Linked DNA regions of Bombyx mori. The protein of the gene in region 1 purifies or fractionates together with the protein of each later gene. This does not show direct contact. Links are inferred from orthologs where the notes say so. Each region holds a gene or a part of one and is shown on either strand. Other genes may lie near its edges. The genes, in order: WD repeat-containing protein 19 and intraflagellar transport protein 122 homolog.

Region 1 (3,829 bases):
TACAACATTGTATCAGGTGACGAATCCTGGATATACGCGTACGAACCCGAAACAAAAAACCAGTCACGAGTTTGGGTGTTCGAAAATGAGTTAAAGCCAACAAAAATTGTTCCTTCACGGAGTGTTGCAAAAAAAAATGGTGGCCACGTTTGTCTCCAAAACTGGCCATGTTACGACTATTCCTGTTGAGGGACAAAGAACGGTTAATGCAGAATGGTATGCTAGCATTTGTTTGCCACAGGTCGTTTCTGAACTCCGTAAAGAGAACTGCAACCGCCGCATCATCCTCCATCACGACAATGCGAGTTCTCACACCGCGCACAGAACAAAAGAGTTTTTAGAGCAAGAAAACATAGAATTATTAGACCATCCGCCGTACAGCCCCGACCTAAGCCCTAATGATTTCTATACTTTCCCTAAAATAAAGAATAAATTGCGTGGACAGAGATTTTCATCACCTGAAGAAGCTGTGGACGCTTACAAAACGGCCATTTTGGAGACCCCAACTTCCGAATGGAATGGTTGCTTCAATGATTGGTTCCATCGTATGGAAAAATGTGTCAAATTTCGCGGAGAATACTTCGAAAAGCAATAAATACATTTTTAAATAGTAATGTTGTGTCACTTCGTTAATTCCCGAAATTTTCAGTGCCGCCTAGGTATACTGAGACCTTAGAATTCATATCTCAAGGTGGGTGTTGGCATTACGTTGTAGATTGTCTCTTACGTGGTAGAGTCTATGGATTCCGGTAACCACTTAACACCAGGTGGGCCGTGAGTTCGTCCACCCACCTCAGCAATAATAATAATAAAAAATCCTGATTGATGCAAGTGTTCTCTAATTATAACTATACTTAGACCTTAGAACTCATATCACAACGTGGGTGGCGGCATTTACGTTGTAAACGTCTATGGGTTCCGGTAACCACTTAAAACCAGTTGGACTATGAGCTCGTTCAGCCATCTAAGTAATAAAAAAATAAAAATAAAATAAAATGTTATTCAATGCGCATTTCATTTTTTATTTATGTACACTTAAATCACACAAATAATTTATGGTTAAGTTATAAACTTCCAGACTATGTGCAGATATGGAATGGGACAACGATGGAGATTATCTAGCCATTATTACACCTAATAGTAATGCAGTTTTACTTTGGGAATGCCATGCTAATAAACGGTTGAACATTGAGACGGGCCTGCGTGAACCACCTTCGTGTCTTGCTTGGGCTTACGAAGAACCTTTACTAGCAGTTGGTACACATAAAGGGAATTTAGCCCTTTATAATCATCATACCACAAAGTGAGTAAGAATCATCGCTTTTATTGATTGATGTAGACTTTGAAAATTAATAGCTAATTCCAATTCACAAGCAGCAGTTACTGCTCACGCGGAAAACTTTCCATACCTTCTATTTCTATTGTATGATCTATCTTTTTTATAATCTTAAATCATGCGTTAGGTGAAAGCAGTAAAGATATAATTCATTTTAGAGTTGCTAATCTAACATTTAAATTTTTTTTGCTGTTTCGATGGGAGTACGAGTTCATGGCCCACCTGATACTAAGTTGTCATCCGGGGCCCATACATTAATAAAGTGAATGCCACCACCAACCTTGAGACATGAGTTCTAATCGAAATGCATTACTGCTTCATGACAAAAATAGATAAGTTGGTGGTAGGTACCTGCACGGACTCAGAAGACGTCCAACCACCAGTAATTATTAAATTCTATTCCAGGAGAATTCCAATAATAGGGAAACACAGTAAAAAGATATGTTGTGCTGTATGGAATAAAGACAACATACTTATACTTGCTTCAGAAGATAAGACATTGTCCATAAATAATTCAGATGGAGACACACTCAGGATAATATCACTAAGGGATACTCCTAATGATTTGCAAGTTTCTGAGATGAAGACAGATGAACGAGTTGCAGGGGAAAATACAGTAAGTTTTTGGTGCTATTGTGGTGTTTGAAATCCATGAAAATAAAGAAGAAACAATAAAGCCAAAATCATGAGTTTTGTTTAAAATCAACCTTATCGTATTAAATTTGCTATTGTCTTGTCTTAATCGCGTTTTATTATGTGCATTTTTGTTTTTTTAACATAAACAGTATTTTTTTCTTTCAGGTAAGCCTTATTGTTGGGAAACGCACATTATATCTTTACAATCTTTTGAATCCCGACAACCCAATAGAGTTAGCATTCCAACAACGTTATGGTTCCATAGTTTCGTACAAATGGTATGGCGATGGTTACATTCTTATAGGGTTCAGTGCTGGATTCATCATATCAATATCGACACACATCAAAGAGGTCGGCGAAGAATTGTTTCAGGTCAAGAACCATAAAGATAGTTTGACCGACATAGCGGTGTGTAACGGGCAGGCCGCTTCGTGTGGGGATGGACAGTGCGTATTAATTCATAGTTATATGTGTACAACTGGACCAAGCTAAGTTTGCACCTCGCTGGAATGCGGCGCGCCGCCCGCGTCCCGCGATCGTCCTGTCGCGTCAGTACGGTTAGCATCTTTGTCGCCGACACGCGACATACGAGTTTTCGTCTCCCTATCCGTTGAATTTGAACAGTAAAAAAACAATTTAATTTTTTTTTACTGTTCTTGTTAGGTTTTTTGTTGAAGTTTAGTTATATTATCCGATCCACTAACGGTGCTTTTAGGTACTTCAAGCACCGGTCACCGTTCTCGTCGAACCCGTCGCTTGCGACGAAGGGCTCGACGAGTAAATTAACCCTCAGACACAGCCCACTGAGTTTCTCGCCGGATCTTCTCAGTGGGTCGCGTTTCCGATCCGTTGGTAGATTCTGCGAAGCACGGCTCTTGCTAGGGTTCGTGTTAGCAACGTCGTCAGGTTTGAGCCCCGTGAGCTCACCTGCTAATTAAGGTTACGCTGGAATAGCCTCTCAAGACTACAAGCTTAGGTAGGAAAAAAAAAAAGCAAACTTAGCTTGGTCGAGTTGTACATTCGTAGCATCTCTTGCTGTCAATTTTTTTTAAATTTTTTATTTGTTGCTTAGATGGCTGGACTAGCTCACAGCCCACCTGGTGTTAAGTGGTTACTGGAGCCCATGGATATCTACAATGTAAATGCGCCACCCACCTTGAGATATAAGTTCTTAGACCTCAGTATAGTTACAACGGCTGCCCCACCCTTCAAACCGAAACGCATTACTGCTTCGCGGCAGAAATAAGCAGGGTGGTGGTACCTACCCGTGCGGATTCACAAGAGGTCCTACCACCAGTAATAATGAATGCTTTACTGTTCAGGTTAAAGTTGATCTCAGTTTGGAATAATGGTGAGGTGAGTGGATCGGTGATGCCGACGGGGGGAGCCGAGCGTTGCGGGTGGAGCTCCGACGGAAGGTTACTAGCGACTTCCGGGCGAGGGTACCTGAACGTTTACGTGACCACGCTACCCCCCCTGTACGCTACATACGGAACCAGAGCTCTCACTCTGACCAGTCTCACTGAAGTCACGGTTTACCAGTGCATCGGGGTCGAGGATGCCCCCGAACCTATTAATAAATGTAAGTTGATTGGTGAGCTTAATATTAATTTGCTTAACTAAATTGAGTTAATCTTTGGACTATTTTTCTCATTCGTATACGATCCTCCTAATTCTAGGCGATACCTACTAGAGTTTATAGACGATGCTAATGCTACCGAATGAATATTTAGTATTTGAGTTTGGGTCGATTTTGTGCTATTTTATGGTACGTAGTTTAGTATTACTATTTTATATCGACTGGTCTCTATCGTTTTTTTTTTTTTTTTTTTTTTTTTTTTCTTAGATCGGTGGTCG
Region 2 (4,281 bases), on another chromosome or scaffold:
ATAATCACTAACACCAGGTGGGCTGTGAGCTCGTCCACTCATCTAAGCAGTAAAAAATAGAGAGCTAGTATGAAAAAGTTTGCACAAAGTATTAAATACATAATTATTGTGTCTACAATAGATTGGGGGGAATAGGGACGCTTTTCAATTCCAACACAAATTTTCAGAGCGTTTATCTTAGGGTAATTAATCCCAATAAAATTGAAATTAAAATGGTTGCGGAGGTTAAAATTTTCATATAAAATACATTAACATAGTTCATTAAAAAATATACATTAAACTTAAAAAACTAGCTTGACCTGATCCACCTCGGCTTTTGGGGTGAATCAGGGCATGTATGGGGACAATAGAGTTTTCGATAGGGCTGGTACTGTTTAGTTGTTAGATAGATTCTTACCTTTAGGTATTTAACTTTTCAATATCTATAATCAGTTACAAATGACTATGACCAAATTAAGCTATGTAATATTCTTAAGCACTAAATAAAAGTTATTTTCAATTCAACAAATTTAAATCTCAAAAAGGCATTGTGACAACCCAGATTTGTCCCTATTCTACCCAATACCGTCTTTACCATAAGGGCACACGGGGCCCGTGCCCAGGGCCCCCATTCTCAGGGGGCCCCGAAAGACCGACAGTTTCTCTCACACGTTTATTCTCAAAACATTTTTTCGGGCACATTACACTTTTTTCACAAATCACTATAATAGAAGATTTTGCTCAACAGAAATCCCGAAAGAAACCGTTATCGAAATTGTAACCAAAAAACCAGCAGCATTCTAATATCATTAATAACATATTATATCATACTGTATTTGATTACCTATAATAAATGGTCATACTCAGTAAAAAAATGTTATTATAATTCGCTTTTTTTACTTTCCAAAAGGGCCTCAAATTCTTGTGTGCCCAAGGGCCCCATCCTAGTTTAAGACATCCCTGATTCTACCCCTAGTTCCTATTCCCCCCAATCTACGGTACTAGTTTAAATGTGGCATCTGATGAAGTCTATAAAAAATTACAATTTCTATTTCTATTGATTAAACTAGTTTGTTTACCATTTTTATTGTTTTAAATACAATAGTTAATTTTCATTCTTAAGCCAGATCACATATGAATCATTGATACGAGTCATAAAACCAATGGGTAAAAGTAATGACAAGGGCATAGCTGAGGATTGCCTGATGGTCGGGATCCTTTTTTAATTTCATTTTATATTAATGACATTTTGAGGTGTAAATATGCATATTACCAATATTTCTTTCTTTTAGTGTTTGCTGACCCTGTATTGTATAAAAAGAAAGTGTTTCATTCCAATCAGTGACAAGTAAAGTCATTTTTGAGAAGGCAACCGCCCAAACTGCAGCTTCTCTCAGAATTCGTTGTATTTCATTGCCTACCTAAAAAAAATATTGGTTTAGCAAAAATAAAACACATAAAATTATAAAAGCTATTAAAAACACTAAGAAACTAGGACAATAGTACATTGAATCTACAGTTAGAAATCTCAACAGCTACCAGTTGTACTAAAAATCATTGAGTAATTGCTACAATGCATATTTCAATGAAGTAATTTAAAAAAAAAAATTATAGGAAGAATTATTAAGAGCTATATTTTTCAGAAGTAAATTTAAATACAAGGTAAGTGTGCTTAATTCAACATATTTTATAGACTTTAATAAAATCAAAATAGTGAACAAATAGATTACTTACTTTATCCCTAAAAGTTACAGCACCACTTGCTAAACCAATTACCAGATATTGCCCATTTGGTGACCAAGCACAACTTGTTATTCTCCCAGAAACTTTATGTTTCTGAACAGCTTTTATGTCCATTGACCAGAAAGCAAAATCAGAAATGGCACATGAGGCCAAATGAAATGTTACAGGGTTGTAGGCGAGACACTGTATTGCTTCACTGTGTCTAAAAGAGAGAAAAAAAAAACAAAAAAAACTCTTTGAAGGACACAATATAGCAACAAAAAATAATCATGATCAATAAAATACATTGTGCTTGAATAATATTCAGAACACTTTTATCTACAATGAGATGAAACAAAAATTTACAACTATCCCATGTTTCAATATCTGGAAATTTCATTACCCCGAATCACTGCAAATTCTTAACTAAACATTACTCATCTGCCAAGTAAATATAATCAACTAACGAATATTTCAATATGCCTTCCATTTTTGATGTCCAAATAATAACATTCCTGTCAGCACTACCACTTGCAAATTTCTTGCCATCTCCACAATAAGCTACAGCATGAACTGCCCCTTTATGGGCCTGCAGCAGTTGTAGAAGAGATCCATCCCTAGGATCATAAACCATAACCTTCTCTCCAGCTCCAACTACCAGCTGGCTTCCATCTGGACTGAAGCATAATGTGTGGACACTGAAATAATTAATTCCAACTGTAAAACTCGTTCACAAATAATGCTTTCCGAGCCTATTGAGTAAATCATGAGTCAATCATGAGTATAGTCATATCATGTTGATTGCGACTTCTGTTGAGTTCAAGATGTTAACTTTAATGTAATAATTATGTTTTTGTGTGTATTAATTGTTTATATTAGGTTTATCAATTAATGATTTTTATTTATTTTAAAGTCAAAGTTGTTACACGATTCATACCTAGAAAACTCAATTTTGTCAGCTTCGTGAATTTTATTTACCCATTTTGGTAACGTTCTCATTTTTGTTTATCGGTGGTAAACTACAATGTGAAAAAATTGTAATCCTAAAAACAAAATTTCTACTTAATTTAAGCTCGGTTTAGGTACTTTATTTTTTGAAACTGTATAGAATGAGTCTTATACTTTTATAAATGTACCGTACCGTACGTAGCCGTAGTGATACGTACATACAAACAAAGTTGTATTTAGATTACATAAAATTGTTTATTATTTAAAAGATTTTTTTGTCTCCATAGGACACTAGATAGGCAAAGGAAACATAGGTTATTACTTCAAATATTTGTTACAAAAGATTTTCATATAAATGATTAGTAAATGGAGCGAAATTAATTAAAATAAAACAACACCGTATTTTTTGTAGTAGTTAGATTTACTAAGGATTCAATGGACTTTTGTTGTAGTTTGAATATGTAAGTAATGGCAGGCAACACTTAACACTTATAAGGTTACAGTTTTCGAATATTGGAACGCTTAAGTATTTAAATATTTAAAACAGATGATTGTCTTCTCTTCAGTGAAGACAATGACTTCTCATCTAGACACGGACAGTGCAACATCTTAGGGTTTTATAAAAATAAAATATTGTAATGGTGTAATAGTGCACAAAGTGTTTGCCTATATAAATTATACTAACCATGAAGCAGAGTTGTTTTTAAATAGCCCCTCACCTCCAGAACCCAATCGCCTCAACTTTAAACGTCCAACAACTTTCTAGGAAAATCGAAAAAATTTCATTAGTATTGAAAGTTTTTAAGAAATATATACCCAATATGAAAGTTACCGATTAGTTTCGGTTGAGGTCTGTTTTAGGAAATTAACATCGCGGTATGTACAATATTTTAAAGAAAAAAGATTTACTTAACAAATGTAATAACGGAAATAATAAAAGTATTTTATTATATCCATGAGAAAAATTCTATTTTTTGTTGCGGACTATCTGTCTGAAGTTTGAAGTAATTTGGTGCAAGTTATTCACGTTAAATCCTGGAGATGTTCATCAGTAAGTCGTGATCGAAATTTGTTCTTGTTGAAGTGCATCTACGAAAATGTTATTTCGCCAATATATGTTGATCCAAGCAAAGTAAGAAGTTGCAAAGCTATTTTTTTTCTGAATATTTATCACCACACACAAATTTTATGCAGAACTCTGCACTAGACACTTCCATACCCTGTAGTGGAAGTTGCTCTGTCCGGATGCGGACCGTGGTCCGCCATTTGGCGAACCCTGGTATATATTCTTATTTTATAACAGAAATGACAACCTGTGCTATTTCTTAACCAATAGTGGCACTAACAGAATAGTGCGCAAGCAAACAATAAAATTTTAAACTAATACCAAGGGACAAGCTGAACGACTTTGAAAAATCATAAGATTACTAGAGATCGTAAGGCACGAACGTTCGGGAAAATTCAACAGCGTTTCGGCAGTCACTTATCTCAATATCGAGAAAGCCATCGACGATGTCTGGCCCATGGGACGGGTCTACAAGTTGTAAAGGGAAACGGCTCTGCAACATGCCTATGTAGTAGTAGTCGCACGCCGTCGTACCTGGAGGGCAGAATCGTTCTTATCGTGGAATC

What was found.
Region 2: the proteins of WD repeat-containing protein 19 (region 1) and intraflagellar transport protein 122 homolog purify together in Homo sapiens (affinity purification with mass spectrometry; 4 studies listed by BioGRID and IntAct, counting the BioPlex papers as one, with this or other methods). This does not show direct contact. The link is inferred for Bombyx mori from reciprocal best matches to the Homo sapiens genes WDR19 and IFT122.

Annotation. Positions count from the first base shown.
Region 1 is NC_085119.1:3,216,722-3,220,550, reverse strand, and holds part of WD repeat-containing protein 19, read left to right. Parts: intron 1-1,078; coding exon 1,079-1,303; intron 1,304-1,741; coding exon 1,742-1,952; intron 1,953-2,137; coding exon 2,138-2,418; intron 2,419-3,294; coding exon 3,295-3,554; intron 3,555-3,829. UniProt on the Homo sapiens protein: As component of the IFT complex A (IFT-A), a complex required for retrograde ciliary transport and entry into cilia of G protein-coupled receptors (GPCRs), it is involved in cilia function and/or assembly.
Region 2 is NC_085107.1:13,135,057-13,139,337, forward strand, and holds the start of intraflagellar transport protein 122 homolog, read right to left. Parts: upstream 2,927-4,281; 5' UTR 2,843-2,926; intron 2,745-2,842; 5' UTR 2,701-2,744; coding exon 2,639-2,700; intron 2,400-2,638; coding exon 2,169-2,399; intron 1,925-2,168; coding exon 1,714-1,924; intron 1,401-1,713; coding exon 1,253-1,400; intron 1-1,252. UniProt on the Homo sapiens protein: As a component of the IFT complex A (IFT-A), a complex required for retrograde ciliary transport and entry into cilia of G protein-coupled receptors (GPCRs), it is required in ciliogenesis and ciliary protein trafficking.